Cricetulus griseus: one gene and its partners. The protein of the gene in region 2 interacts with the protein of the main gene of each other region in a pairwise test. Links are inferred from orthologs where the notes say so. Each region holds a gene or a part of one and is shown on either strand. Other genes may lie near its edges. The genes, in order: Suv39h1, Cbx5, Incenp and Prr14.

Region 1 (8,385 bases), on a different chromosome or scaffold from region 2:
TAGTGGGAAAAGCTGCACACATACCCAGACCCATCTCCTCACCTCTCCCACATACTCCATAACAAAGCTATTTTTGCGGATCTTTTCCAGCGTGCGGACACCCCAGCCTCGCCCATCATTAGTACGGAAGATGCAGAGGTCGTAGCGGATGCCTTTCTGGACTACACGGTTAGGGCAATCATAGCCACAGCAACATCGGGAGTTACACTCGTAGATGGGCTGACCAGCTTTCAGCCGCACTTGGCCTTGGTCATTGTAGGCAAACTTGTGCAGGGATGCTCCAGGGCAACAGCCTCCAGTGGGTGCCAACAGACAGTCCTGGCACTCACAGCCAACAGCCACCTGGTTGAGGGTGATGCCCTCACCAACACGATACTCATTGATATAGACAAAGGACCGTGGAGGGCCATCCAGGTCTACCTCATTCTCCACAGTGATGCGTCCCAGGTGGCTGCGCTTGGCATTGAGCTCTTGCTCCCAGCGCTGCAGTGCCCGCCTCTGCTTGGCCTTCTGCACCAGGTAGTTAGCTAAGTTTGGGTCCAGATGCCTGGGTGGCTTTGACCGGCGGTGCCGCCGGAGAAGCTCTCTTTCTAAGTCCTTGTGGAACTGCTTGAGAATGCGCACACACTTGAGATTCTGCCGTGGCTCCCAAGTGTTTTCTGAGTCGGGATATCCACGCCACTTAACCAGGTAGTACTCTTGCTCCTGTTAAGAGGACAGGGACAGAAGGGTACCATAAATTTGAGACCCTTGTGGCAACAGAGAACATTCACCCCACCCCACACTACTCTAGAATGGTTCCATGCAGTGCCTCTGGAGTAAAAATTACTAAATCCAACTTCCACTCACCCTCTTATTATCTGTTGAAATTCCTACTTTTCAACCCCCCAAGACCACTTCCTCCTCTATATTCCAATGATCTGTTCAGGCCCAAAACCCTGTAGTTATTCTTGGTTCCTCTTTTGCTCACACTCCCCAATAAATACACTCAGAATCTGACCCCTTTACTGCATTAAAACATTGCCACTGCAGCCAGTCAGTCCTCTGGTAGGTGCCTCTACTGATCCCCCTGTTTTTACCCTCACTGTTTCAGTTTTCTGCACAGTGCCAGGGGAGGGGGAGCTTTAATTGCTGGGAGTCAGCCATAGGACAGAGTTTAAAATGGCAATCTGTAGCTTCCTGGCTATGTTGCCTTAGGCAAATAAAGCATGCCATGTCTGTTACCTCATCTGTAAAGAAGAAAATATATAAGTGGGAGGAGGATTATATACATAAAATATACACATATCTATAATGCCATCAGTAAACTGAGGCAGAAGGATTCTGCGTTTAGGAACAGTCTTTACAACATAGCAAAACCCTGTCTAAAAATAAAGAAAAAGAGAAAAGGAAAAACAGTTAATATTTTTTTGTAGCACTCGCTATGTAGCAGGTATTTTCCTGAGCAACTGACACACCCTAGAATTCTTACAACTCCAGTCCTCCCCATTTTACAGACAGGGAAAATGAAGACTACATTTCAACTAACCAAGTTGCTTTCAGTGGGCTCTAATACCGCATAACCTTTTCTGGCAGTTAACAGTTACTGTATCATCTTGCATTATCAGAGTTTAAAAAGTTTCTAGTGTGCATACTAAGTATTGTCATCTTTACTTTCACTCCTAGGTTCAGAATCTCAATCTTTGTATCCCGCAAGTACAAGTGGAAAAGACATTCTTTGAGGATTCATTCTGCCTATATTTCTGAGAAAGCTACTTGATTTCCTTGCCTGTAAAATGGAAATAAGACAGTCAATTCATCCCATTTTACCCCAGGTGAAAATCCTCTTTGTAAAGAGATGTGGGGGTTGGGTGGGGAAGAGGGTCCCCTGCCAGGGCAGTCTCACACATCCCCACCAGACTTACACGGATCTTCTTATAATCACACAGGTACTCGACTTCAAAGTCATAAAGATTCTTCTTAGAAACGCCAAGGGCGGGACAAGAAAGCTTGGCCAGTCGGCACAGATCCTGAAGCTGATTCCAGGATGATTTGCAACATACTCTGCAGCCTGGAATGAGAAGGCCTAGGAATCACACAAAATTTAATCAGGCCTTAACCAAAGCTAAGACCCTCTACAACAGGACCATGTCAATTCCTTGAAGCCTAATACCCAGGGAAACTCCTGGAGAGGAGCCTGCCCACAATGCAGTCACCACACCCTTCTTTCCCTGACACCAAAGAGTCCAGTTCTCCTATGAGAGAGGACCCATCCAATCTTCTAATCCAAAGCCTGCCCCCTAACCCTGGAACAGCAAGGCTGTAAATGGATCTTGTGGCATGGACTGCATGTAAAGGGATCTAAACACTCCCAGAACTTAAACTGCCTGCAGACTTGCTTCAAGTTCAAGACCTAATCACCTCTCTATCCACTTTGCAAAAGAAAGACAACAGCTTCCTAGCTCCATAGGGTGCATGCCCTAAAGGTGTGTGGGGGGAGGATGAAAATCCCCAGGGTACCAAACAGAGGTGTTAACTCTGAAGCCTGGTCTTCAATCACTTAGCTGAAACTCCTGTGTATTTCGGAATTTTAAAAAAATGGGGATTTTTAAAAAATGTAATTTTAGACCCGGCGGCGGGGGTGCACGTCTTTAATCCCAGCACTCCGGAGACAGAGACAGGTGGATCTCTGTGAGTTTGAGGCCAGCTTGATCTACAGGGCAAGTTCCAGAACAGGTTCCAAAAGGCTAAAGAAAAACCCTATCTCGAAAAACCAAAAAAAAAAATGTAATTTTTAGACACATTAACAGCAAAGTCTGGGACATCAAGCCATCCATAATCAAACACATTAACAGCACACATATCTACAGCAAAAGCCTGAATTTTCTACGTTAAATATCCTCAGTGAATATCAATCCCACTTTGAAGATCTCCCTTTGTGCCGGTTGGTGGAGCTGCCAGCACTCAGGAGGCAGAGAAAAGCAGCAGATCTGAGTTCCAGGCCAACCTGGTCTATAGAGCAAGTTCCAGGATAGCCAAACCCAAAAAGAGAAAACCTTTGGTGGCACACGCCTTTAATCCCAGCATTTGGGAGGCAGAGATTGGAGGATCTCCGAGTTTGAGACCAGCCTGGTCTACAGAGTTCCAGGACAGCCTCCAAAGCCACAGAAAAACCCTGTCTCAATCCCCCCTCAAAAAAAGAGAGAAAACCTGTCTTGAACAAACAACAAAAAAGATTTCCTTTTGCCATGATTTAAGAAAAACTATTTTTAGGGCTTTTTATATTTTGAAATTATAAAGATTGTGTAAAGGTGTTAAATTAAGCTGGGTGTAGCAGTAAATGCCTTTAGAACCAGCCCTTGGGAGGCAGGGGCAGGCATATCTCAGATCTCTGAGTTCGAGGTCAGCCAAGTCAACACAAAGAGACCCAGTCTCGGAAAAACAAACAAAAAAAGATACAAGCGGGGCGGTGGTGGTGCACGCCTTTAATTCCAGCACTCCGGATGTAGAGGCAGGTGGATCTCTGTGAGTTCGAGATCAGCCTGGTCTACAAGAGTGAGTGCCAGGACAGCGTCCAAAGCCACAGAGTAACCCTGTCTCGGAACCGCGCCCCCCCCCCCAAAGATGGAACATTACTGAGAGCTTCCTTGACTTAGTCTGGGCTATTTTATACACCCAAGGTCTACTTTTCCAGACTGCATTATCATTTGTCTTATCCCATGTTTCCGTGAAAAGTACAACTCAATGCAAAGGGTTCTGCGTTCAATTCAGGAACATGTAAACAGTACATGTGGTAAGTCAGTGACACTATCACGAGGGTCTCTAAAACTGTTCAAGACAAACGGACTTAAAATACATTTTTCCTTCAAAGCACACCCATTATGTGCTTTCAAAGCCGTTTTTTAAAAAATCACATCATGTCACAAAACACCTGATGCTAACTGTATGCTGTCGCTATCCAATGCCGTTTTTTTAAAAATGCTGAATATTTTCTGCCCCGTTATACAACTCAAACCTAAAACAATCCGAATGAAATAAATACTCTAGATTGTTCACCTAAAAACATACAGGCACTTTTCAAAATCATTGCGTGTACACCCATCCTTTAGCCAAGGCCCAGCGAAACTAAGCCTCCTCCTCCGAGGCCTTTGCTTTCCCAAAGCCTTCAACCTGCATTTGAAAACCCTCGGAAGTGGCCCCAAATAAAATTTCCAGCATCTGGCTGCGCACTAAGCACAGCTGCCGTAGCCCTCGGAGCTCCGGCTCACACTTGTGGAATCTATTCTCACAGCTCCACTCACTGCCGAGGAGCCTGCCCAACACACAGTCACCCCTCTTTTCCTGCACATGGAGGAGTCCAGCCCTCCTATTACCGAGGCCCCCATTCTCTCTTCTGAGGAGAATCTTCTCCCCTAAACCTTGCCCCCTCACGCCTATATCCTTCCCACCTAGAGCCGCCGGTTCCCCCATTTTGAGAAGAGGGTCCGTTCCCCTTTTTCCTCCCCTTCCGGCGTCTCCCGTGAAAAGCGAAAGGGTAATGGTCACCAGGAGCCGCTTTTCCCGCGTGTGGTCGCAACCTTCTCCTCAGGACTCTCTCGCGCGCGTGAACGCGCCGGCCGTCAGCGCGCGACCGAGAACCCCTGCGCGCAGCCTGCGCAGCCCCGCGCCCCCCGCGGCCGAAGCACGCGCCCCCTCCCCTCAGCCCCGCCCAGCCCGCGCGCCGGCCCGCGCTCTTCAGCCCCATCTTTTCCGCGCCGGCTCTCTAGCTCCAGGCTTCGTGGCTCCGGACGCCTAGCCCGGAGCCCTGGACACCTTCCCTCCATTCTATTCCACCGGGCCAGTAGCCTGCGCCTCAGCCACCACAGCTTCACCTTTTAAATTTTCCGCCATCTTTCTCCACAGCTAACGACATTCGGGCCTAGCAGGCCTCGCGAGAAGAGAGCGCGCGCGGGCGTGGTCGGGGACGCGCAGCCTATTGGTCGTCGCTCAACGCCCGCAGCCCCCGCGCGGACCAACCGGTGAGCCGTGACCGAACCCCTCCCGTCCCCAGGAGCGGGTCTCCAAGCCTGCTGCTCGCTGCTCTTTCCCAGAGTGCGTCTGGGCAGTAGAAGTGGTTGAAGTTGCTCAAGGCCCTGCCCCGTCCGTCACATTGCTAGCCAATCACATCGCGAGCCATTCATAAAGGGACTGTTTTGTCAGACTCCAATTATGTCCGTCATTATATTTTAACCTCAAGCAGGCATTCACTTCCAGGATGGACCTAGCGCTATATATAGGTGCACAGTCGGTCACCTGATTCAAATAAATAATAAGTCAGTCGCCGCAGTCACACGTCCATTCAGATCCCTTGCCTGTGCATTCGCATTGTGCATTAGTCAATAGTAGCATCCATCTGTGTCCTCCAGCCCTCTGAGTCCACTGAAGTACATCTTATGTGCTGTTATACAGCCTACCATTTCCTCAAACTGTCCCCATCACATTGTCAGCCAGTCAGCCCTTTCCTCCAACTGCAGTCAACATGGCACCAGCTGACATTATCCCTGAAGGAAGCTACAATGTCCACCTATGTCCCGAGGTAGCCTGGGATCAGGTCAGGACAAATCATTGTCAGCTCCCAAAAGCTCTCTGGACAGTCACACTGCCACGTGGTTATGGTGGTTCACTTTGTTACTCCCCATTTACACCGTGATCAGTGGCCACAGCAACTAGGTAGACCCTCACTATAGGGAGGGGTGTGATGAAACCTTGGGGGGGGGTCACCTGTCAGTGGATTCTCTGGTTTAAGGGGAAAACTCCATGTGTGAGAACTGGCTGCTAAAGGCAGAAGATGCTGACAGACCTAAGAAAGAATTGGGCGTGGAGCTGGGGAGATAGATGGCTCAGTAAAGTGTCTGCCATGTAAACAGAAGAGCTTGAATTCAGAGCCTCAGCACCCATGTAAAAAACCAGAGGCAGCACCAAGTGTGTAACAGCAGTATGGGAGGGACAGCAGTCAAAGAAGATGCTCAACATTGACCTTTGCCCTACAAATGTGCATGTACACACACATACAGGCACCAAAAAATGTAATAAATATAAAAATAAAGTGCATGAGCCGGGCGTTGGTGGCACAAGCCTTTAATCCCAGCATTTGGGAGGCAGAGGCAGGCGGATCTGTGAGTTCGAGACCAGCCTGGTCTACAAGAGTTAGTTCCAGGACAGCCTCCAAAGCCACAGAGAAACCCTGTCTCACAAAACCAAAAAAATAAAAAAATAAAAATAAAGTGCATGGGTGGTGGTGGCTTATGCCATTAATTCCAGCACTCGGAAGGCAGAGGCAGGCAGATCTCTATGAGTTCAAGGCCAGTCTGGTCTCCAGAGTTAGTTCCAGGATTTCTAGGGCTGTTATACAGAGAGACCCCTGTCTCTAGAGAAACAAAAAACAAAAAACAAAAATAAAGTGGATAGCAATCAAGGAAGATGCCCAACAAAGACCACTAGCCTACATATTTGTATGCATATGTACGCAGTCCACGGGAACATGTACATTTACCAGAAGAATCAGAAAAATCCAGATTTCACAAAGTGCAATTTATTACAGACTTGCAGACTTAATTGTTTCTCTAGTGTCAGCAAAACAGGAGAAACTATCAGCAGGAGAAAGGATTTTATATGGTACACAAAGTTGAACGTGGCCCATCAGTTATTTTTCTAAACCTATTTCATTAAATATCCATTCAGAACATTTTGTCCATCAGTAGTTAGCATGAAATGTTCATCTGACTTATCTTAATGGCTTTGTTCATCCTATAGGTTTAGAAAGTGCTGAGGTCATATGCCTCACCACCTGAGGTTATGACTAAAATGGCTGTGGTCATGTCAAGCTGGTTTTCTATAATGAATGAATCTACCATTTCTCGTTCCCACTAAGAGTCAATGAGTCAATATCTTCTGATGTGTTGGGTCCTTTAGAGAAACTTGGATTCTATCGGGATGGACAGTCTGCAACTATATACATCCAAGGAGTCGGGGCGCTTCATTGACAGCTCTTAATCGGCTGCCCTGTGACTTATTCATCCTTCTTCTCATCATGTTGTCAGACAACCAGGTAATGAGTCTCACTCAGCATCCCACTAACCAGACTACCTGTGGGTGATCGGTCAGAACCCTCAGTATCATGTGATTCAGCCAAGGTAGACAACCAGCCACCAGAAATAGCTGCCTAGCAGGAAACTACAGACTTCATCAGTCAGCCTGAAATGGCCAAGGTTAGCTCTGTTGTTAGAGCTCCCACATTCATTTCCTCATCCCTGAAAAAGGCCAGTGACTCAAGGACAGACTGGGACCAAAGGAAAATCTTTCTTTGGAAAGTCAGCAAGCAAAAGAAGATAGGAGACCATCATCAACAAACACCATCTTGTTTAGGTTCTACAGATATAAGGCAACCAGGGGATTTAAGGAAATTATCTCTCTAGTTTGAGGAGGGCTGGGATGGTCATAAATTCCACAGTGCTTTTCTGAAAACGTAAGCTGTTGTCTGAAGGACACTGGATGTTCCCGAGTCCGTAAATCTAGAGAAAAGTTACTGATTAGCAAGTTTGCTGACTCGTTTCTTTATGTCAGGAAGTTGCTTAACCTTGAGATTTAAGATACGGAATAAGGCAGGGAGCACAAAGAAACTTTTGCCAGGGGACAAGTTAAGCGATTAAGCAGCTCTATTCAGAGGATTTATCTACAGCAAATCCAGTGGGAGACTAATAAATTGTTTGCCTTCATGACCTCCAAAATTAGGAATTTTATTTGGGGGGTGGGGTAGGTTTGAGACAGGGTTTCTCTGTGTAGCCTTGGCCGTCCTGGAACTCACTCTAGACCAGACTGGCCTCAAACTCATAGAGATCCAAGTGCCCCTGCTTCCCAAGTGCTGGGATTAAAGGCAGAGATTTTTCTTAATTAAATTATTTGAAGTGGGAAGGCCCACTTTTAATCAAGATTTTTTATAGGGTTTTTTTAGACAGGGTTTCACTGTAGTTTTGGAGGCTGTCCTGGATCTAGCTCTTGTAGACCAGACTGGTCTCGAACTCACAGAGATCTGAATGTCTCTGCCTCCTGAGTGCTGGGACTAAAGGCATGTGCCACCACCACCTGGCTTAATCCAGATTTCTTGAGGTGGGAAGATCCACCTTAAATCTGGGACACATCTTCCGCTGACAACCGATACAAATACATGCAAGAAGGAAGCTTCCTCTCTCTACCTGCTTGCCCTCACACTCAGTGGCAAGTCCATTCCTTCACTGGCATTTTTGTTTTCTTTTTTGTTTTTTTTTTGAGACAGGGTTTCTCTGTATTGCTTTGGTGGTTGTCCTGGTACTCACTCTGTAGACCAGGCTGGCCTCAAACTCACAGAGATCCACCTGCCTCTGCCTCCCG
Region 2 (7,809 bases):
GTTTGATGTGCAGCCTTGGACCCCTGCTCACTGTATGTTCCCCAGAAGGCTGACCAGCAGAAGGTTTCACTTCCACAGATCTTTTTGTTTTGTTTCTAAGACAGGGTTTCTCTGTGTAGCCCTGTCTGTCCTGGAACTCAGAGATCTACCTGCCTCTGCCTCCCAAGTGCTCAGATTAAAGGTGTGGGCCACCACCACCCAGCCACTTCCATAGATTTTTAATCTAAAATGTCACCCAAACAGCCCCAATAGTGTTTTTGTTTCCCTCAGAAACGTCACAAGTCTGCACTGCCCAGACATAAAACCCTAGATTTAATTTCAACAACTTCCTTCAAGCTCACTACAGATCATAGATGCTACCTTTGTGGTTTATTGACCTTTTTTTTTTTTTTAATTCTGTGATTCATTACAGGTTATAGGTGTATTATATATAAAAAACAACCTAGTATTTCCTGTCTAACAGAAGAACTATGCCTCTGGATAAGGAATGGGATGATAATTTTTTTCTTTGTAGGTTCATTTCTTGCTTTAATTCCACAAGACTGTTGTAGTTTTAACTTTCTAGAACCCATGCTATGAGTACAAAATACAGAGGACAACTTTGAGACTATCAGATTGAAACAGACATTTTGGTTCATTCATGTAATCTATGTATTTGGAAGGCTGAGGTAAGAGAATTGCCAAGAGTTAAAGACCATTATGGGCTACATAGTAAGACTGTCTTTAAAATTCAGAGAGTATCTGGGTGTGGTGCTGCACACCATGAATCTTAGCACTCTGAGAGGCAGGAACAGTGGAATCTTTGAGGCCATCCTGGTCAGCCAGAGACCCTGGATCTAAATAAATAAATAAATAAAATAGAAACCCACAAAGAAGGCTGGGAATATGTCTTAGAGGAATGCTTGCATAAGATACACAGAACACTGGGTTGGGCCCCCAGTACCACATAAAGGAGGGAAAGATAAGTCTGAGGATGAGAAGTTCAAAGTTATCCTTGACTGCATAGAGGGTTTGAGGCCAGCCTGGGTTACATGTGTGCTGATATTATTATTATTATTTATGATGTATTAAAGCTTGTCTGAGGGTTCAGAAAGAAAGCAAAGCTGCCCACAAGCCATAGAGGTCAGACAGTGGTGATAAACACTTTTAATCCCAGGACTCAGGAGACAGATTTATCTCTCTGAGTTCAAGGCCACCCTTGGCCTACACAAGAGTGAAGAGTAACAGAGCTCACGCCTTTGATCCCAGCACTTGGGATCACACACCTTTAATCCCAGCAGTAGGGAGGTGGAGACAGGAGTGATATGGCTGGGTAGAGAAAGGAATATAAGGAAGAGGAGACAGCAATTGAGAGCATTTGCCTCTGAGGATTTCAGCCTGAGGTAGAGGTAAGAACTAGGCTAGTGGCTGCCTGCTTTGCTTCTCTGATCTTCAGCTTGAAGCTTGAACCCCAATATCTGGCTCTGAGTCTTTTATTATTCATGTTACATACATGAGACCTTTGCCCCCAAAAAACTTATTTTCTACATTATAGTGCTTCCTGTTTTGTGCATTCATATTATTTCAGTTTTGTTGTTGTTGTTTTGTTTTGTTTTTTGAGACAGGGTATCTCTTGTATAGCTCTGGCTGTCATGGAACTTGCTGTGTAGACCAGGCTGGGCTTGAACTCACAACAGAGATCCCTTGTCTCTGAGTGTTGGAATTAAAGGCAACACCCGGCCTTATTTCAGATTTTGTATGTGTATATATGGTGACAGTAGACTTGAGTCTGTCACATTTGAATAACACATTCCAGCTCCTACTTACTGGAGTTTACAAATAACATCTAATACAATAGAAGTTAGAGGTATGTGACTTATTAAGTTACCCTTTTTTATAGGCAGCTGATTGTATATATAAGGTCACACTCTTGGCAATTAAGGATTTAAAGTTGGGCTTTTTTGTTTGGGAAAATCTGCAAGGGATTGAACCCGTGGAGCCTGGCTTATGACTAAACAAGCATGCTTACCACTGAGCTATATGCCTAACTTGTAGACTGGGCTTGTTTTTGTTGTTTTTAAGGATTTTTTTTTTTAATTGTCTGTGTGTATCTGCCTGTCTGTCTGTGTGGGGTCTGTGAATACTATTATGTACGTGTCTGTAAAGGGCAGAAGGCATTGGATTCCCTAGACCTGGAGTTACAGATGTTCAGGTCTCTGTAAGAGGAATAAGCACTCTTAACCAATGAGCCATCTCTCCAGTCCAAAATTGGGAGGTTTTTTTGGGGGGGAGGAGTGGGGGTTCAAGACAGCTCAGTAGTAATAGAGCCAGTCCTGGAACTCTCTGTAAATCAGGCTGGCCTCGAACTGACAGAGACCGCCTGCCTCTGCCTCTCGAGTACTGGGATTAAAGCTGTGCACCCAATGCCCAGCCAAAACTGGGAGTTTTTAAAAGGTTTTATTACTATATAGTTTATGTACCCTAAGAGTCACTCACACCTAAGGGTGGTGGTGGTGCAAACCTTTAGTCCCAGCAATCAGTAGGCAAAGGCAGGCAGCTCTGTGAGTTTGAGGCCAACCTGGTCTACACAGTGCATTCCACTGACAGCTTCTCCCCCCCCCCCAAAAAAAAAGTTACCCACTGAAATTGTACAGGTTTTTTTTTTTTTTTTTTTTTTTTTTGGTCTGTTTGTTTGTTTGTTTTTTGTCTTTGAGACAAGGTCTTTTGTTTGGTTTTTCTGAGACAGACTTTCTCTGTGTAGCCCTGGCCTTGAACTCCTGTTTTTGTCTTTTGGTCAGTATTTCTAGATTTGTGAAACTGTTAGCACACTCCCATTTCAGAAAATTTCCTCAGTCTGATCTATTTCATGTCTCTAAAAATGTATCTTGTGAGGACATGTCAGAAAATACAAAAGAAAGCCTTTTTTTTTTTTTTTTTTTTTTCTTTAGACAGGGTTTCTCTGTATTGTTTTAGACGCTGTCCTGGAACTCAGTCTATAGACCAGGCTGGCCTTGAACTCAGGAATCTGCCTGTCTCAGCCTCCCAGGTGCTAGGATTAAAGGTGTATGCCACCAACCCCAGCATCTCTAATAGTTCTTTATTTCCCCCCTTTTTTTCTTTTCTTTTTTTTTTTTTTTTTTTTTTTTTTTTTTTGTTTTGTTTTGTTTTTCTCGAGACAGGGTTTCTCTGTAGCTTTGGAGCCTATCCTGGAACTAGCTCTTGTAGACCAGGCTGGTCTCGAACTCACAGAGATCCGCCTGCCTCTGCCTCCCGGGTGCTGGGATTAAGGCGTGCACCACCAACGCCCGGCTTCCTCCCTTTTTTCTATAATAATTCTTTACATGACTTTGTGTGAATATACTTTTTCCTAAGCTTCAGTGAAAATCTAAGATCAAATTTGTTGGATCTTTTTTTTTCTCTGTAGAGCTGGGGGTCAAACTTACGGCATTACATGTCCTAGGCAAGTACCTTACCACAAAACTATACTTCAAGCCTCTTGCTAAGTCTAGGTGGTTTTGTTGTTGTTGTTTTTGAGACAGGGTTTCTCTGTAACTTTGGAGCCTGTCCTGGAACTCACTCTGTAGACCAGGCTAGGCTTTAACTCACAGAGATTCTCCTGCCTCTCTTAAGTCTTTATAGAATTCCTTTCCTTTGCTTATATGTTCTCTTTAAAGTAAGCATTGACACTGAAAAGGCTGTGGATGTAGTTTGCTAGAACTTGTCAGTCTTAAGTTCTGCAGAGATGGTAAATGGATAAAAATAGGGTGTTACCGCCATTCCTCAGTCTTTCCCTTTTGTCTTTATTGTTATTGTTCAGGGAGCACAATACTTGGGAACCTGAGAAGAACTTGGATTGTCCTGAACTAATTTCTGAGTTTATGAAAAAGTATAAGAAGATGAAGGAGGGTGAAAACAACAAGCCCAGGGAGAAGTCAGAAGGAAACAAGAGGAAATCCAGTTTCTCTAATAGTGCTGATGATATAAAATCTAAAAAAAAGAGAGAGGTAAGCTTCTCCTCCCACTTACTATCCTTTTGCTACTGTCATGCAAAGGGGAGTTTGGTTATTATTTCTTGTCTAAGGACAGACAAAAGCTTCCAGGAAGTATGTTGGTTGACTACAGTGACCCCTTCTGGCCAAGGGAGAGCTCCTGTAACACAGACTCGTTAACTAAAGTGTCAAAATTGATGTGATACTGCTACCGCAAGCCCCCCCCCCCAATAGAAGTACACGTGTGTGTGTGTGTGTGTGTGTGTGTGTGTGTGTGTGTGCGCGTGCGTGCGTGCGTGCGTGCGTGCGTGCGCGCGCGCCAGAGGAAAGTATTAGGAATCAAGTTTCTGTCTTCTAGAAGAGCCGCAAGCTCTCTTAGCCACTGAACCAATTCTAGCACCAATAGGAAGACTCTTAAAACTTTTTCTTTTTAAGGAAAAGTAGCTAAGGAGGTGGCTCAGGAATAGAGGGGCCTATTCCAAGCCTGACAACCTCCCGTATTGTGGAAGGAGAAAACCACCTGCTGAAAGGTTGGCCTCTGACCTCCATGTGAACCTGTCTACTTGAACACACCAAGAGTAATAAAGAACATTTATTACTTTATTAAAAAGACAAAACTTAACTGGGCAGTGGTGCCTCATGCCTTTAATCCCAACCCTTGGGAGACAGACAGAGAACCAAAACAAGCAAACAAAAGATGAAATTAATTTTCATCTTTTGTGTCTATCTGTTCATTGTTTAGTTTGGCAATTAATTATGAATTTTGGTTCAGTTGCTTTTATCTTTCTGATTCTTAGATTGAAGATATTAACATAAATACCATATTGCCTTTTTTTTTCTTCTGTATCTTTACTATGTGCATGTTACACAAATACGCTCTGCCCCTCCAACTTTGCCTCTTTCCATTTTATTTCAAGGTTTGAAGAATATATCATACACTTAAAATCTAATAAAATAGTTTATATAGCCTATATCCTTACATCAATTCCCTGTTTGTCTGCATTATGCTTGGATGCCCATTTTTCTACATTGTTACTCTTAACTTTGACTACACCTTAGACCATCCAGTATCCAAGATGAACCTTTTGAGAGTATCTATGGGTAGACTAAGGCATTGGGGTTTTATTTGTGTATCATTCTTGGCCTATGTTCCTGTTGGGTATCACTACTTCTGTAATATATGATAAAGGCTCTCAAGCAGTCTGAATATCTTGATAAACTATACTGATTAAGAATTTAAGGAGCCAGGTGTTGGTGGCTCACGCCTTTAATCCCAGCACTCAGCACTGGGAGGCAGAGGCAGGTGGCTCCAAAGCAATACAGAGAAACCCTGTCTTGGGAAAGAAAGAAAAAAAAAAACAAACATTTTTCTGAGGAAATAGGACCAGGCTGTTCTCGAACTCACAGAGATCCGCCTGCGCCTGCGCCTGCGCCTGCCTCTGCCTCCTGAGTGCTGGGATCAAAAGTGTGTGCCACTACTGCCCCCGACTGCCTTTTTTTTTTTTTTTTGGTTTTTCGAGACAGGGTTTTTCTGTGGCTTTGGAGGCTGTCCTGGAATTAGCTCTTGTAGTCCAGGCTGGTCTCGAACGCACAGAGATCCGCCTGCCTCTGCCTCCCGAGTGCTGGGATTAAAGGCGTGGGCCACCAACGCCCGGCTATTTACATATTTTGATACATCTTATTTTGCATTCGTGTGAGCATGTATGCTGTTGCACATGTGTGGAGGGTAGAGAACAACTTGGAAAAGTCAGTTGTCTTCTTTCACCAGGTTGGTCTTGGGGATTGAATTATGTACTTTAGGCTTGGAGCATGTACCTTTACTAACTAAGCCAGTCCCTCCCTCCCTCCCAGTCTGGCTTTTGTCAAGTTGAAATAGCAAAATAACACAACCAAAGACTTGACTATGTATTTGTGAGAGATAGTAAATTTCTCCAATTTAGGGTCTTTGTTCTGTTAAAGGTTGTCTTGGAGTCCTTGGTTACTACTTCAGAGGCCTTCGTGTCTAGGTTCTGGAGCTGCTGACCTTGAAAACAACCTCCACCCACCCTTTACATCATCATGTTTGTCTGGCATTCTTAGCAATACTGGAAGCTGTCAGGTACACAGCTGGCAGGATAGGTAGTAGTGGTATGTTTTCGAGGTATGGGAGAGATTACATTTCTTTAGATCACTTTAGAAGAAATTTCTTGGTCGGTTTTATGCCTGATTTAAGATTACTGCCTATGATTTTAGTGTTTTCCTTACCTCGGCTCCTTTTAGCAGCTTGAACAATCTTTTTCCATTTTCCTCCTTCTGTAGCAGACTGTTTCCAGCCGCCAGCGATGATGTATGACTTAGTCCCTGTGCCAGCATTCCAGCTGTGAGCATCTGTGTTTGCATCTGGGAACCTATTCCCCTTAAATGCCCTAAAGAGTCTGTGTCTTAAAAAGCCAGTATCTTCCCATTGATCCATGGCTGGAATTTCTTTCCTATTGTGGGTTCTGTTATCTTTGGGGACCACCAGGACTGTGCAAGCTTTTGTGTTTCTATTTTAAAATTTTCATTTATTCATTTATGTATTTGTTCATTGTATTGGGCATCATGCACTAGTGTAGGTCAAGGAACTGGTGGGAGTTGGTACTCTCCATCTATCATGTGAGTCTCAGAGATTAAAACCAGGTTGTCAAACTTGCCTGCAAGCCCCTTTCCCCAATGAGTCACCTCACTGGCCTGCTTTTGTGTCTCAAAGGAAAGTAAGATGATCAGAGAAATGTTAGGAAGATCACACATCTGAGATTTGGTTCATTTGGGAAATCTTAAGTATAAAGTTAGATTTTTTTGTTGTTGTTCTGACCAGTGCCATTACACCCAAATCAGCCTCTGTGTGTAGATCACGTGATTATACAAGAACAAGTTCGGAACTTTTTTTTTTTAAGATTTGTTTTTACTTTATATGCAATGGTGTTTGCCTGCATGCATGTCTGTCTGTGTAAGAGTGCCAGATTCCCTAGAACTGATGTTAAAGACAGTTGTGAACTGTCATGTGGTTGCTGGGTATTGAACCTAGGTCCTCTAGAAGAGCCATCTCTCAGCTGGGTGGTGGTGGTGCATGCCTTTAATCCCAGCACTTGGGAGGCAGAGGCAGGCGGATCTCTGTGAGTTAGAGGCCAGCCTGGTCTACAGAGCGAGTGCCAGGACAAAAAAAAAAAAAAGGCCATCTCTTCAGCCCCATCTAGTGCTCTTCTCATGAGTTATCAGTTCAGTTGCTTAAAAGTCTCAGTCCGGGTCCAGTTAATGCTAATAGTGTGCCTGTGTTGCAAGGGGGTGAGCAGACCAGGGGCTCCTCTCCCCAGTATATGCAAACTAGTGTTTGTGATCTTTGAAATTTGCCCTTTTTAGAGTATTGGTCTTATATCCCATTCTTGCCTCTGTTTTTTACAATGTAGATGACTGTGTGAAATATTAACTTGGGCACATCTGAAAGGTTATGGTTGAAAAAGCATATCTGAAGTTAAGAGAAGGGTCTTGCTTGTACGGTGTCGGGAGCAAGAGTAGAGGGGTCAGCTTACAGTTACTGAAGATATCCTAAGGGATAGGGTTTTAGGAATAACCAGATGATTCTCTAGAGACCCACGGGATGCTAAAGACTTCTAGGGTCCCTCCTTAATCATTTGCAAGGAATACTAGGAAAGACAGCTACATCTTCTTGCAAAAATATGTCTTGACATTGCTGTTGCTGGTTGACCTAGTATTATGTTTCTTGAGTTCTAAGGATTTTTCTGATTTGGTGATAAATGATTTCAAGTGATGTTAAAAGCTATGATTTCTTGTTCTGAGAAACCATTGTTTGTTTTTTGTTTTG
Region 3 (7,809 bases), on a different chromosome or scaffold from region 2:
CGATGATTGAACTCAGATTGACAGGCTTGGCAACAGGCTCCTTTACTTCTAAGTCATCTCACTGGTCCTGGGATTTAATTTTCATTGCACTTTCTTCAATTTAGATTTAAATGGCCACATGTAGCTAGTGGCTGCCATTGATGGGTGACAGATCTAGTTCAGCATTGTTTATAGATGAGAAAATAGGCCTAGAATGTGTTAGCCCCAGTATTGCCATGGTCCTTTTTCCCCCAGTCAGTATATCCCTCATTGCTGTTTTAGAGTGACAGACTTAAATTCACTGTCACTGTGTGGAACTCCTGATGGTGAAACTGCTGTGGAGATGTGCCATGTAGACCATGCAGGCTGGTACCTGGTAGCTGCCTTCATTATGGTCAAATCTAAGCCCAGGGGACCAATGCCCTGGGAGAATAGATCCTGTGAGCCGTAGAGGAGAGTAGGAAGCCCCGAGAGTCAGGGTTGGCTGTCTGAGTGGGTGGATACTTGAGGGAAGATTTTGAAGGCTGGCTGTGCTCTGGCCAGGTGGAGAAAATATAGCACTGCCTATCCTGGCCAAGGAAACATCTTGCACAAAGACATGGAGATACCAAGTAATAAGTGATGGGCTGCCTGGAGCTTCTTGCCACTAAAGCAGATGTAGTCCAGTGATAGCTGGAGGTTCTTAGGAATCCTATAAAAATAGAGAAGAGGTTAGCTCAGGTTCCTTCAAGACCCAGGTCAAAGGACAGGTCAAGTTTCATAGTAAATGGGAAGTAAGTTCACCTGGCTTTTGTGAGATTTATGTAAGACATTATGTCTGTGTCAAAGTACTTTTGGCTCCTCAGGGTTTAGACCTTTTAGAAGAGGAAACAGAGGTTGACAAGCTGTAGAGTCCAGAAATTGAGACTTAAGCCCACTTGTATTCCATCCAGGAAGGCAGGTGCTGAGGGGCTGGGGTTTGTCAGACAGGTGAAGATACCACACTCTAGAAGGTTCTCTTTGGCCTGGCTCTAGGCTCTGTAGCCTGGAGAGACAGTCTGGACCATATGCAGCAGGAGGTTTGACACACTGTCCATTTTGGATTGTCAGGAGGCTTGGGGTGGGGTGGGTATCACAGGTCCTTCTTAGATTTCTTCAGCCCTGAAATTGGTCCAGGGGAGGGTCCACAGGGCTAGATGAGCCTGGAGCTATGAGAAGGGTAGGAGGAATTGGGGAGAATCTCATACACCCCCTCCTTTTTTTTTTTTTTTTTTTTTTTTTTTGAGGCAGGGTTTCTCTGTAGCTCTGGTGGTCCTGGAACTCGCTCTGTAGATGAGGCTGTCTTTGAACTCAGAGGTCCTTCTCCTAAGTGCTGGGATTAAAGGTGTGTGCCACCATGCCCAGCTTTCTCTTAATTAAGGCCCCTGTTTTGTTTTCTTTTCCTCCATCTCCCTGTTCAAATCATGTTTACCCTGCTATTCGTTTCTCTACACCCCCCACCCCACCCCACCAGCCCCTTTTTGCCTTCCTAGTTCCTGCAGTTACTCCAGGTTACCTCACTCAGTACAATCTTTTCTGGTTCAATCTGTGTATCTGCAGATTTCATGATTTCGGTTTTTCTAGTGGAATAGTGTATATCAACCCACTTTTTTTTTTTTTGCAGATTTTTTTATTTGAATTAGAAACAAAATTGTTTTACATAACAATCCCAGTTCCCTCTCCTTCCCCTCCTCCCCTAGTCCTCCCCATCTCCAAACTAAAACCCTACCTATCACATATGCTTTCTGCTCCCCCTGGATGGTGAGGTCTTCCATAGGGTGTCATCAGAGTCTATCCTATCCTTTGGGAGTACCTAGGCCCACCCCTGTGTGTCTTGGCTCAGGGAGTATTCCTCTATGTGGAATGGGCTCCCAAAGTTCACATCTATGCTAGGGATAAGTACTGAACTACTACAGGAGGTCCCATAGATTTCCGAGGTTTCCTCACTGAAACCCATGTTCCTGGGGTCTGAATCAGTCCCATGCTGGTATCCCCGCTATCAGTCTGGGAACCAAGAGCTCTCTGATGTTCAGGTCAGCTGTTTCTGTGGGTTTCACCAGCCTGGTCTGGACCCCTTTGCTCTTTTCATCCTTCTCTGCAACTGGATTCTAGTTCAATTCAGTGATTAGTTGTAACCCACCACTTTTATAGACATTGTGGAGGGGCAGTTGCAAAGGCTTGTCAGTTGGACTAGTTGGTGGTAGGATACAATTTAAAGCTTCCAGCTGTGTGTTCCCAAAGACACTGCCATCTTTATGGGGACTTTTTAATTCCTTGAATGAAGGCATATTATCACCCGGCCCCAGCATGTTGTTAGCATTCCAACCAGAAAGATATAAATGCTACCTTGTCAGGGTTGTAACCAACTTTCTTAATGATGTACTGACTTCCTTAATATCCTCATAGTTCTTCTTGCTGTAGGGTGACTTGTTGGAATCCATTTTGTTGGTACCAGCAATCAGCTGTTTCACACCCAGAATGTAAGTCAAAAGGGCATCTTCACAGGTCTGCCCATTCTTGGGGATACCAGCTTGAGATTTAGCAGCACTGGCAGCAACAATCAGGACCGCACAGCCATCCTGAGATATGTCTGCACTGATGTTTTTGATCAGATCTCTGTGTCCTGGGTCTTTAATGATAGTCACATGTTTACTGGTAAAATTTCCACAGGGAGATGTCAGTAGTGATACCATGCTCCCACTTCTAGTTTCTCCAAGACCCAGGCGTACTTGAAAGAGCTGCTTCCTATCTCAGTAGCCTCCTTTTCAAACTTGTCAGTGGTTTGTCTGTCAGTTCCACCACATTCGTAGGTGGCCAGTGGCGGTGGACTTGTCTGAATCTACACATGCAGTGGTGACTGACACTGTTGGTTCGAGTCTTTTCCTTTCCTGTTTTTGCTTCAAATTAGTGACGGTTTTCCTAACAGTGGACCAGCATTGTCTGTTGCTCTTCTCCTTAAGCCTTCCCTGCCCATGGATGGGCTTCTGGGCTATGTGTGAGCAAGCCTGTCTAATCCTAAGCCTAGCAATCCTATTCCTTCTTGAGATAGAGGAAGTGACTCCAGAATGTGGAGTCACTCAGCCCCCAGGTGACCTTGGGTATACCTTCTCTTTTAAGCTCAGTTGCCTGTCAGAAATGGTAATAACATTTGCCTTGAGTGGAGTTGGAGAACTCATCTTAGTGCTTGGGTATGGTATATGTTCAGTAATTCATTTAGACAAGTTAACCTGGGGCTGTGTTACTGAAACTTGAGGGGTGAGAAAAGGCAAGGCAAAGGCTTCCTGATGCTTTTCTGATGCCAGGTTCTGAGGTGGGGCTGGGTGGGCAATTCAGATAGCATGTCCTTTGGGTTTTCCTTAAGGTAGCTTTGACACACCTGCAGCAGGGGAGTAGGAAGGAGAAGGGGACTGGCGGTAAAGGATGGTTCAGGGGCCTCAGGATTCTAGTGGTGGAGCACAGAGGACTGAAGCCTTTTGTCCTCCTGATCTGGTGTGCACTCCCCAGGAGGAAGCTTTTTGTCATTAGTGGGCAGGCAGGGACAAGGGTCACTGCTTCGCAGTTTCTAGAAAGTCCAGCTGTGTAGGTAGTCAGCTTTATCCTTCAGGCCTCATGGCCATTTTTTTAATTGGAGGGTAGCTCCTCCTCAGTCTTCAGTCTTTAGGCCAGGCCACTTTCTTGACACTAGACCAGTTCTGGCATGCAGGGGCTGCCTAACATTCCAGGAAGTCTTTGTGCTATGGAATAGTTAGGTGTTCACTTGGGTGTCTTCTGGCTTTTTTTTTACCTCATCCCTCCTCCAATCAAGGAGCTTGGAGTTACCAGAGAGAGAGAGAGGCAAGGGCAGAGGAGGGGAACATATCTTCTGGCCATGGACCCCCCTCAAGGTAGCACCTATAGCTAGCTGCCAGTCTTACTTTGTTGCTGCTCCCTCCTGGCCCCTAGCCTGGATCCCATAGCCCAGAAAGGAGAAACTCCTGCTTCTTGTCACTGCTCAGTTCTCTCTGAGCTCTGCCAATTGTTGCTCCAGCTTGTTACCTTCTTCTCTTCCTTGTTTTTCTTTGGCCCAGGGCAGCCCTGGTTCCTTGTCTGCTTAGTTCTGGCCTTCTTCCCTGACCCAGGAAGGAGATGGACTTTTTCTAGGCCCCCAAGCCCCTTCTTTCACTTTGTGGTTTTGGTTAAGTGTCTTCCCATCTCACTCTGTAGTCCAGCGAGGCTTAGAATTTACTATAAAGCTCAGGCTGACTTTGAACTTGTGACAATCCCTCTGTCCCAGCATCCTGAGCGCTGGGATTAAAGGTGTGAACCGTCGTACGTATAATTAATACTTTTCCAAGGACTTCCCTCATTGAAACTGGGCATTGTTTTACTGGGTGTGATAGGATGATAGGGTTTGGTGCTGAATGAAGCCTTGATGGGTACTAAGCTTCAGCATTTTCTCCTTGGCTCTGTTGCTGTTTGGGCTAATGTTAATATAGTAAGAAGGAAAAGTCACACTTTACAGTGGTGAAACTAGTTAAGACCTTTGCATATCCAAAAGGGTCTCAAGTATTTCCAGCAGTTGGAGAACACACTTTGAAAAACAGCATCTTCCTCTTCCTCCTCCTCCCCTTTGGCTTCATTTCAGGTCTCCCTATCTAGGCTTCAGCATCCTTGACTTGATGGCTGCTCGTACCCTAGTTTACTGTATAAGATCACCTGATGCTGGTAGGAAGACCGGGCAGTGGCCTTAGTTTTCCTTATCATTGCTTTGAGCCTCTAGCACCCGACTTAGAACCCAATACATAGCAGGTACTTGGAATATTTGTTGTGTGAGTAAGCTGCTTATGTTGGGGCCCAGTGTTACTCAGACATCCATCTTTCCAAGCTACTGCTAGCCTAGTGAAGAGGTGGAGGTGTGCCTGCTAGACAAGTGGCATAAAGCTAACAGCTGCATTGGGCGTGTGAAGATGAATGAGGGTGAGATCAGGGCACAGAGAGGCCTGTGTGTGTCTATGAAAGGAGTAGTGATTATGCCCTTGTCAAAACTTCCTGGATCTCTTGGTCTGGTTGCTGACTGGTTTCCAATAGCATCCCCCCCTCCCCCAATTTCTCTTCAGGTCACAGTTACCTGGAGAGACTCCTGAATGTCGAAGTGCCTCAGAAAGTTGGGTAAGTTCCATGCCAGTGTCTCCCACAGGGGTGGTCAGGGCACATGGGGGTGGAGGTTGGACTCTCCACAGCACTCCTGATAGCCATGCTCCCTTAGCCTGGTTCCTGTGTAACCAGGCAGCAAGCAACATGACTGTCAGGTCTCTAGACAACATTCCATCTGTATCACTTGTCAGCTCTAGCTCATGAGTTCCATGGCTGTAAATGAGGCATAACAACCATTTAAAGTGGGGTGATTTGGGATTCAGGGGTGCTTCCTGTCTGGATTAGACCTAGCATTACTTAGGGCCAGGACACTGACTTCTCAGAGGTCTTACTCTGCTATCCTAAACTAGCCCTTCCTTACTTTGGGGCAGAGGTTCAGTGCTTGGGATGAGGAAGTGGGGTCTGGGAAAACCTTTGGCTTAGCTGCTTCCCCAACCCCCCAGTAGTGAGCAGGTTTCAAAAGAGATGGGATTTTTCTGGACCCCATAGATTAAGACTGACCTGGGTAAAGTACTTGTGTGCCACTGTATTACTGGAACAATGACTAAGATATTCAGCTTACAAAGGAAAATGGTTTATCTTAGCTCACAGTTGTAGAGCCTTCCATTAGTGACCAGTCTGCTCTGCCGCTTTGGAGGAATGGTACATCATGACAAGAGTGTGGTAGAACAAAACTATTCTACCTCATGGCTGGAACTTGATAGGAGAAGGGGGGCTGTGGTTCCATACTCACCTTCTTGGGCATACCCCTAATAAGCCAAAGTTCTCCAGCTAGGTCCACCTGTTGAAGTTTCCACTGCATCCTACTAGCTGTATTCTGGGAACAAAGCCTTGAATACATAAGTCTTTGGGGACACTGAAGCTCCAGACCAGATCAGGTTCCCATCCCAAATGAGATCCTTGACAGGATGATACCAAAAAAATTCAGAAACTGACATCACTCTCTACTCAGGAAGCCACTAGTAATGGCTGCTGTCTTCCTATCCAGCCTAGACTGTTGGTTTGTGGTCCAGGTCTGGTCACCTAACATTGACCCTAACTTGAGGAAATTAACTAAAAGTTCTCATAGTGCTGTGCTTTGCTTTCAGTCTGGAGCAGGAGCCCATTGAGGAGGCTGAATCTGAGGAGGCAGCAGAGGAGACAGAGGTAAGACCACAGGCCAGAAATGGGTAGGACTCGAGCCCTCCAGGTCTGAAGCTATGTGCTGCAGCTATCCTGAGCTCAGGATCCATGTGGGCTTCTTCAAGCCTTGGTTTTTCCTGTAGGTCTCCAAGAACAGTGGCTGTACCTCAAAGCGCCACAGTGCCACCAAGATTGTGATTAGTACGCCTACCTTGAAGCCTGTGGCCAGTGGCCAGGCAGCATCCATTGAAGAGCAGCAAGGTGAGTTGGCCTGGCCCTGTCTCTTGGGATACAGAGCCCCATTTTCTGGTCTGTAGGCCAAAGATAAATTAAGCCTGAAGAGGTTATGACCTTCTGGCTAAAGCTGCTGCTGACTATCCCATGAGTAACTATAGATGGCTGGTTAGGAAGCATAGAGGGAAGGGCGTGAATGAGGCAAAGGTTTGAAGGTGCCCACTCCAAGGGATTCATGAAGAAATACAGGCTGGGCTCTGAATGCCTACCTAGCTTCTTGCTCCCGCTTCTAGTTGAAAAAGGGCCGGGTTACTGTGGGCTTTCGCAGTTGGTCAGGAGCCCTGCCTGGCTTCCCAGGCTACTAGTAGGCTCTTGGAGTCTGGCTCCTGTTTCTCTGTGGAGGTGGATTTCTCTAGTGTAAAGAAATGGCAGCTGTAAGGTTTGAGCAAAGCATCCTGTTTATGAAGGGGCCAAGGATAGTTGTGCCAGCCTGAAAGCTCCCAGGACTGCTACAAGACCCTTTGGAGTTAAAGGGCACTTCCTCTTGGTGTGAAATAGAATGTCCTATGCCCTGTATGATGTCCCCATGAAAGGAACCTTTTTCTCCTGTCATGGAGGTACCAACTGCAGGCTAAGAGAGGTGTGTTTGATTGTGGTAGAGTTTACAGCTTGTTATAAGGTTTCTGCACATAGCTTTTTGTGATAGAGGGAGTGGCATGTAGATTGGTGATATTGTCCTGTCATTTGTGTCACTGTTGACAAGGGTTTGGGCTGGAGGACCTGACTTGGGGGCCAGTATACTGGGCTCAAGGCTAGTTACTGCTTAGATTGGTGTTTCTGCCATTGGCCACCCTAGGGTTACCATGCTCCCTGGGTTACCTTGCTCCTGCTGTAACTGTTGCTGCTGTACCCCTTCCCTAAAAGTTGCATGTATACTCCACTGGCATCATCCATACAACCTCTCTGAAATTGCTCTCTTCACAGAAGCCAAGCCTGACCAAACAGATGGACACAGAAAAGCACCTCAGAGTGTCAGGTGTGCACCTGGGAAGGGGTGTGCAGGCAGCTCTGTTCTGAGGGTTCCAGAGGGGTTTGAACCAAGCTGGGGTCCTTTTGTAGGGAGGGTAGGTATGTGGCCAGGCATTCTGCTTCTTGGTTGGTGTCATGACTCGATCCTCTGACTAAACAAAGGAAGCAGCATGGTGCTGTAGATGCTGGTTTGGGAATGGGTAATCATGTCCCTCCTCATCCTTCTGGCTCTGTGACCTTTGACTGGCCAGTGACATTTTTCTGGGCAGCAAAGGGCTGGTCTGCAGTCTCTTC
Region 4 (7,203 bases), on a different chromosome or scaffold from region 2:
AAGATTGGCTATTGGTCTCCTGCAACTGAACTTCTACCGACCTTCCAAGTGGCCTGGAGACAGTACTTTAGGAAGAAGTAAACATATGCGCCAGTGAATGAAACTCATCCAGCCTTTTCCCCACTTAAGCTCTGCCCAGTCTCTCCAAATAGAACAAGTCAGAGGAGACACGCCGGCACTAATTTTTAACCTTGGATCTTCACGGTCCCCGCCCTTCTTTCCCCTCAATCCCGGAGGAACCTAAGAGAATGGGAATTTCTCAAGTTGTTAGCACTTAATCGATGTTTACTGGCATAGGAACAAGAAAAAAAAATAAAAATACGGAAGATGACTTTACAAAAGGTGGAGAAACTTTAGCTTCACTACAGTTGTCCAAATATATCAAGAAATCTGCCATAGTAGTTGACGGCTGACTGGCCTTTGAAAAATGACCCTATTCGGTCGACTAGTGCTCAAGCCTGCCTGCCCTCAATTATAATGGCGGTGCTGTCCCCAGTTTAGCTTCTTGCCCCTAGGAATCATGGCCGCCTGGCGGTTTCACGTAGTTTCTCCTAACCCCGGAAGACCAGGGCCGGCGATTGGGCGGTGCCCAAGACACAGAGAAGAAGGCCTCTGACGGTTGGACAGAGCTGCGAAAGGCTGGTTTTAAAGAAGCCGGAGGTGGGAGCTGTCGAAAACCCGGGATCCTTGGAAAGCTGCGGTGAGCGGCGCAGGGAAAGGGTGGGAGGGGTAGGGGGACCCGGCTGTTGAGAGGGCAGAGAGGCCGGCGGAGAAGGAAACCTTTGAGCCATCTGGTCCCGGGCTCCGGAGAACTCGGGGCGGGGATCCAAGCAGGGCGGGGGCTTGGGGTGGGATGTTACCGGTGGGCTGGACCTTCCGGGATTGGCGTGAACGGGGTGTCGGGTTGACAGCCTACACCCCGGAATCCGAACTGAGTTCGTAGATGAGCTTGGGCCTCCATCCTGAGGAACTTTGTTAAGACGAAGCCCACAGTGGGAGGAGGCGAGTCGCGCAGGTTCTGATTGGAAGAACCGCGCTGTAGGATTCTTTCCACCGAGATCCAATTTAGGCGATCTGGTGGGAAGGGAGAGCTGTTAGTATGTGGAGTAATTCTTCTGGAGCCCATGCTTGGCGGGGCGAGGATCACAGAGGAATCTAGAGGAAACGGAGCCTCCCAGGACCGGGATCCCAGCGGATCCCTGAGAAGCTCAGGGAGGTATCTACAGGGACAAAAGTCCCAGGAGGCTCGATCCGTGGGAGAGCTGTGACCTCCGCGATCCAGTCTCGGCAGGTGCCAGGCAGGGCCCGAGTGATCAAGGCGGCTGCCACGGGAGGACCCGGCTCCGAACGGGCAGCTGGGGGCGCCCTTTCGAGGAAGGGCCTGTGGCCTACGGGGAGCCGCAGGCTGAACATGAAGGGCGGAGTCCCCGGAGAGGAGCTGGCCCTCACTCCCCACTCCCCTGTTCCCCCTTTACCCCAGGCCGCAGCCTGGGATCCCCCAGGGACTCCCCGGAACCATCGCTTTCCCCATGGACTTGCCTGGGGATTCCAGGTGAGAGCGCACCCCGCCTGCCTGCCTGTCTTGAGCCCGGGACACCGGGATCCTGGCGGCTGTACAGAGCCAACAACCGCCTCAGACAACTGTCTTCTTTCACCCTTCAGCCCTTCTAGACAGTCAAGCCTGTGCCGTCAGCCCCTAACTCGAGCACTATGGGAAGCCAAGAGCCCGAAAAGACCGAGGCTGCAGCCCCTAGGGACCCCTTCGTCCTTGGAAAAGGCCTCTCGGCGCGTCCTGGCCGTAGTCCTGGAAGATGTCGTGGCTACAAACAGGGTGAGCCCTTTAATTGAAAGACCCCTCCCCTTTCCCTACACCCCCCACCCCACCACCCGGCTCAGTACTAAAGTCAGACCAGATCTCTTAAACCAACGTTCAAAGCAGTCTCCTTAATGCAAGACTTCTGCATGGTTCTGGGGTAACTCCTATGTCTGTCCTTCCCGCACTCTCCACTGAGCTGGAACCATATTCTACTAAGTATGAGAAACTCTTTTGACTACCCTGCCCCCTGGGAAGTTTGCTGGTGGTGTCTTTGGCTACATGACAGAGATGAGGAAAATGTCACCTTTTTTCCATTTCTTCAGAACCTGGATTAGATTAGATTACTTACATTTCACACCTGTAGCTCCTGACTATAATACCTCACCCCTAATTCAGACCAAATCACTTCCTTTAGGAATCTGAGTGAATTCTAGCCAAAATCTGTCTCCTCTGTGAGTAGGGACACTGAGACACAGAAGATCCTGTCCACTTGGCCTCATTCCATTACTTTGCTCTTTGTTGTTGGTTTGTCTTACTAAGACAGGGTCTCACTTTTTAGCCCAGGCTGGCCTGGAACTCTCAATCCTTTTGTATTAGCCTTGCAAGTGCTGGGATTATAGGCATGAGCCCAGGTTGGCTTTCTTTTAACAACTCTTCCTCTCTTAGGTCCCCCTGGCATACCAAGAGGACACTGCCAGGCCAATGAATCGCAACAATCATCAGGACTCTGTCTACAGTCAGTCACCTGCGTTACCACCCCAGCAAGTCAAGTGGTCCTTCCAAGCCAGGTGAGTGTGACAGGGAAGGAAATAAGCTGAGAACACAGCTGAGCCCACTGATGCTCCTGTTCTTTCTCTAGACCTCCTGACCCACTGCATTTGTGCCGAGAACCCTTGAGCCGGACCCACCAGTCCTCTCCCACCTTGAAGATGAGATCAAGGACAGCCCCTGGCCCAGCAGAGAGCCCTTCACAAAAGATGGACCAGACCACCCAACCTACCCTGGTGGTGGTACTGGAAGACATTGCCAGCCCCAGACAACCAGCTGAGGTATAAGAAAGTATGGTGAAGATGTCTGGGTCCAGCTAAGGCAAGCATGAGGCTGGGGCGGATTTCTGTAAACGTAGGACAACAGAATTTTTTTTAATAACTTATTTATTTTTATTTTATGTACATTGATTGGTGTTTTGCCTGCGTGTATGTCTGTGTGAGGGCATTAGATCCCCTGAAGCAGTTGGGTGCTGGGAATTGAACGTGGGTCCTCTGAAAGAATAGCAGTGCCTCTTTTTTTGTTGTTGGGTTTTTTTTGTTTTGTTTTTTGGTTTTTTGAGACAGGGTTTCTCTGTGTAGCTTTGGAGCCTATCCTGGCACTCACTCTGGAGACCAGGCTGGCCTCGAACTCACAGAGATCCACCTGCCTCTGCCTCCCGAGTGCTGGAATTAAAGGCGTGCGCCACCAACGCTCGGCTATAGCAGTGCCTCTTAACCACTGAGCCATCTCTCTAGCCTGCCCCCCCTCCTTTTTTTTCTTCGAGATGGGGTTTTTCTACATAACAGCCCTGGCTGTCCTGGAACTTGTATTGTAACTAGGCTGGCCTCGAACTCAGAGAGATCCACCTGCCTCTGCCTCCTGAGCGCTGGGATTAAAGGTGTGCACTACCACCCCACCCCCACTTTTTGAGACAGGTTTCACTATGACCTATATCTTGCTATGTAGACCACGCTGACCCAATTTATAGCCTGCCTCTACCTTTCAAGTGTTGGGATAAAGGCTTGTGCCACCGCCCCAATGACAACATTTTATGTGATAGACACTACCTGAATAAAGGGTATAAGAAAAAAATCTTTTCTATACAGCCAAGTAGATATCTGGGGAATAAGTCAGGACATGGAGAGCTGGGGCAGCCAAAGATGGCTTCTTGCTTTTTCAAAACACCTCCTCTGTTTATATCCAGGGTTTTGCTGAAGATGGGCCCAACTTCATTGTTCCAGCACAAAGGTGAGAGGGCTAGGAGAAGGGATTATCAAAGCCGATTATCATCCAAATGTATAGAGCTGGGGGCATTGGGTTTACTTATCTAACCCTTCCTTATAGTACCTTCAGAAGCCTTAAGGGCCAGGGGAAGCACTGGCCAAAGAGGGATCTGGATTTGGAAGCACCACCAACTCTTACTTTGTCCTTTCACGCCAGAGCTGAGCCTATGACAAAAGTTCATCAGCCAGTGCCTACACCCAGAGAACTAGAACCTCCATTCCAACCGTCCACTCTGCCTGCTGACCCTCCAGAGAGCCCACTACCAGGTAAGGACTTGAATGAAGGAATGAGACTCAAAAGTCTCCAGGAGCCAACATGAGCCTGAAACATCAGGGGCAGAACTATGGGTGGGGCTTCACCCTGACCCAGGGCAGATCAGGGTGTACAAAATGTGATTTGGGGCTCAGGAACTTGAGAAGGTCTTATTTTGCTTTGCAATACTGGGGATCAAATCCAGGGCTTAGACGTGTTAGGCAATCCTAATTACAGAACTTTAGGAGCACAGTTACTCCTCTAGAGAGAAGTTAGTGTTTGGGGGAAGAGACTGAGGCTTGTGAGGTGGTGCTTAAATCACCTGGGGGTGAGGAATGCCCGCCTGTGACCCTCTCCTTTCCTCAGCCCCAGATCCTGTTCTGGAGGTCCCATTGACCCCAACACCGTCCAGCCTTTTACGCCCCCGTCTCAGTCCCTGGGGCTTGGCCCCTCTCTTCCGTTCCGTCCGATCCAAGCTTGAGAGCTTCGCTGACATCTTCCTCACGCCTAACAAAGCACCACAGCCTCCACCCCCATCACCTCCCATGAAATTGGAGTTGAAGATTGCTATCTCAGAGGCTGAGCAGTCCAGGGCTACTGAGAGAATTGCATCTGTCAGCCCCCGGCCCCCTATCCGCCAGTGGCGGACTCAGGACAATTCCCTAGCACCTGTCTCTAAGTTATCTCTGGGCCGAAGCTACTCCTGCCCTGATCTGGGGCCCCCTGGCCCAGGTAGCTGTACCTGGCCTCCTGTTCCATCCCAGCCAAGCCAGTCCAGGCCCCGGAGACATACTGTGGGTTGTGGGGAGATGGCCCGGACCCCACCACCTCCTCGGCCCTGTCTCCGGAAAGAGGTCTTCCCTCTTGGAGGTGTGGGAGCCTCACCTTCTCTCACTACATCTTGCTCATCCACTGCATCCACTTCCTTCTTCTGCGAACCAGCAGAACACAGGTAGTGCTCTCAATAAACCCTTCTGGAAGCCTTGGCCACAGCCTGAGCCTGGCCTCCTTTGCTCAGTAACCAGTGACAGAAGACGGGTGTATTGCTGTGTATTTCCTTGTCCCTGACTGTTGACCATCTCTGCAGATTGGGTTCAACCAAGGGGAAGGAGTTAAAAGCCTCAAAGGACAAGGTGTTTTCTGACCCAGAGACCAAGGTAATGAGCAAAGAGACAGGAGTCAGCTGAGGCCTGAGCCCATGCCTTTCTTTCACCCTCTGCCCCATTTTTGCAGACCATGGGAAAAGTTTCTAGATTCAGAATACGGAGGACTCCTGTCCGTCTACAGCCAAACCTTACACCAATGGGGCTGCCTCGACCAATCAGGTGAGAGGCTCAGAGAGCAGGGGAACCTGCCTTGACCAATTAGGTGATAACTCCTATCCCTGAAGGAGTTACCTTGTCTCCTTGTCTCCTCTCAGAGATTGTTGTCCAGCCTGGAAAATTAAGTTTAGCATCGACGTGGCTTGTGCTTAGAACTTCCTCAGATGTCACTTCCAACTCTTGCATGGCCCAGAAACTGAAATTCAGTCAGACTTTACATATACCTTCTCAGGACCTCCTTGCTCAAGGTTTCTCAGTGCCCTCTGCTTTTTGCTTTAGATTGAACAAGAAGGAGTTCACTTTGGAAGAAATTTATACCAATAAGAATTACCAATCACCCACAACTAGAAGGTGAGAAACTTGGAAGGTCTGAGGGCAATAGAGGGCTGTTTGAACCATGGAACATGCTGGTAAACACCTCTTCTCCCTGCCTGGCCCAGGACCTTTGAGACCATCTTTGAGGAACCACGGGAGCGCAATGGGACTCTGATTTTTACCAGCTCTAGGAAACTCCGACGGGCTGTAGAATTTCGGGACAGTAGCATGCCTCGATCCCGTCGACCATCACGAGGGGTCCGCACTGCAGCCAGCAGGACCCTTACTCCCAACTTGGCACCCAGCCAGGATGTGGGACCTCTGCTGCAAGAACGGCTGAAGGAACTAGATGCCTTGCTCCTGGAGGAGGAGATAGATAGGGAACACCCCTGTCAACTCTAGGAGCTCCAACTGTTCATTCATACATCCTTCAGGGAGGGGGAGAATCTCTGGATCAACTGTATTTTTTTCTCTATATTTCTATAAAGTTTTCAATATGTTTGTGATTCCTTTGTCTTCAGCAGAGTTTGAGATCAACTAGTTATACTAGCTGATGTTTCTGTTCGTCACCAAAGGAGTAGAAAAAGGGGACAGTACAAGAGAAGAAAAAAAGGGTTGCAGCAGACAAGGGGTCGGAGAGTGGCCATTAGAGATTCCAACTGCACTCTCAACCCCTGGCAGTGCTAGGGGATCAAACCTAGACTCCTGTACACACTACCTCTCTCAAACTCTTTTATGGGGTGATATTTATGAAGGAAAAAAACAAACAAAAAATGCCAATACAAGACTGAATTACATCATAGAAATTAAAAGGCTTTGGAATAGACTAAGGCCTTGATCAAGATGGTCTTGAATTCTTCCCAGATGCTGTAATCACCCACCTAGGACAACCTATCATAGATACTTGGCTGGTACAAGCCCTATTAGGGAATTTATCAACAAGCAAACAAAGTGAGTTTGTCGAGAAAATATCCATGTTATAGTAACAGCTAGGGCCAATGAACCAGCTAGCTGATAAAAAATTCTTGGCACATAAGCCTTGTTACCAGAACCCCAACACCCACAAAAAAAGCTGAAAGGGAGAAGACAACACAAAGTTGTCCTCGGGCCTCAGCATGCATGTCCCCTATATACGTCATGTCCATACCCCACACAATAATGATATATTTAACATTTAAACACAAACAGATCAGTCACATAAAGGCTTCGGACTGTGGCCAGAGCCCTCACTCTGGAGCTAGAATCCTGGCTGTTGGAATATAGACGCCCTTAATAGAACAAATGGCAAATATTTACCTCGAACTTAATACCAAGTGAATTAGTGTGAAAGAGTACTCCGCACACGAGTGCAAGGTGTTTTTTATTGAGCGCTGGAAGGGAAGACCATCCCTCGAACCCCGCAGAAACAGAAGCTCGGTCTCCACCCCACCGCGGACCCTCGCCCAGCGAGCCTCTGTGCGCCGA

Evidence for each region.
Region 1: the proteins of Cbx5 (region 2) and Suv39h1 interact in binary tests that used the Homo sapiens proteins (3 or more experiments, as listed by UniProt). The link is inferred for Cricetulus griseus from reciprocal best matches to the Homo sapiens genes CBX5 and SUV39H1.
Region 3: the proteins of Cbx5 (region 2) and Incenp interact in binary tests that used the Homo sapiens proteins (3 or more experiments, as listed by UniProt). The link is inferred for Cricetulus griseus from reciprocal best matches to the Homo sapiens genes CBX5 and INCENP.
Region 4: the proteins of Cbx5 (region 2) and Prr14 interact in binary tests that used the Homo sapiens proteins (3 or more experiments, as listed by UniProt). The two-hybrid records come from large-scale screens. The link is inferred for Cricetulus griseus from reciprocal best matches to the Homo sapiens genes CBX5 and PRR14.

The regions. Positions count from the first base shown.
Region 1 is NC_048604.1:114,537,761-114,546,145, forward strand, and holds the start of Suv39h1 (histone-lysine N-methyltransferase SUV39H1), read right to left. Parts: upstream 4,624-8,385; 5' UTR 4,450-4,623; coding exon 4,428-4,449; intron 3,059-4,427; exon of another isoform or gene 2,066-3,058; coding exon 1,905-2,065; intron 1,815-1,904; exon of another isoform or gene 1,666-1,814; intron 706-1,665; coding exon 43-705; intron 1-42. UniProt on the Homo sapiens protein: Histone methyltransferase that specifically trimethylates 'Lys-9' of histone H3 using monomethylated H3 'Lys-9' as substrate. Also weakly methylates histone H1 (in vitro).
Region 2 is NC_048595.1:399,579,923-399,587,731, reverse strand, and holds part of Cbx5 (chromobox protein homolog 5), read left to right. Parts: intron 1-3,796; coding exon 3,797-3,983; intron 3,984-7,809. UniProt on the Homo sapiens protein: Component of heterochromatin that recognizes and binds histone H3 tails methylated at 'Lys-9' (H3K9me), leading to epigenetic repression. In contrast, it is excluded from chromatin when 'Tyr-41' of histone H3 is phosphorylated (H3Y41ph).
Region 3 is NC_048596.1:50,571,446-50,579,254, forward strand, and holds part of Incenp (inner centromere protein), read left to right. Parts: intron 1-2,105; exon of another isoform or gene 2,106-2,836; intron 2,837-3,911; exon of another isoform or gene 3,912-3,951; intron 3,952-5,093; coding exon 5,094-5,145; intron 5,146-6,218; coding exon 6,219-6,276; intron 6,277-6,395; coding exon 6,396-6,513; intron 6,514-7,470; coding exon 7,471-7,522; intron 7,523-7,809. UniProt on the Homo sapiens protein: Component of the chromosomal passenger complex (CPC), a complex that acts as a key regulator of mitosis.
Region 4 is NC_048596.1:73,284,004-73,291,206, reverse strand, and holds Prr14 (proline-rich protein 14), read left to right. Parts: upstream 1-851; 5' UTR 852-1,124; coding exon 1,125-1,216; exon of another isoform or gene 1,217-1,291; intron 1,292-1,480; coding exon 1,481-1,552; intron 1,553-1,662; coding exon 1,663-1,831; intron 1,832-2,482; coding exon 2,483-2,604; intron 2,605-2,675; coding exon 2,676-2,865; intron 2,866-3,770; coding exon 3,771-3,814; intron 3,815-3,910; coding exon 3,911-4,116; intron 4,117-4,468; coding exon 4,469-5,054; intron 5,055-5,189; coding exon 5,190-5,259; intron 5,260-5,335; coding exon 5,336-5,427; intron 5,428-5,522; coding exon of another isoform or gene 5,523-5,577; exon of another isoform or gene 5,578-5,697; intron 5,698-5,703; coding exon 5,704-5,775; intron 5,776-5,864; coding exon 5,865-6,141; 3' UTR 6,142-6,245; downstream 6,246-7,203. UniProt on the Homo sapiens protein: Functions in tethering peripheral heterochromatin to the nuclear lamina during interphase, possibly through the interaction with heterochromatin protein CBX5/HP1 alpha. Might play a role in reattaching heterochromatin to the nuclear lamina at mitotic exit.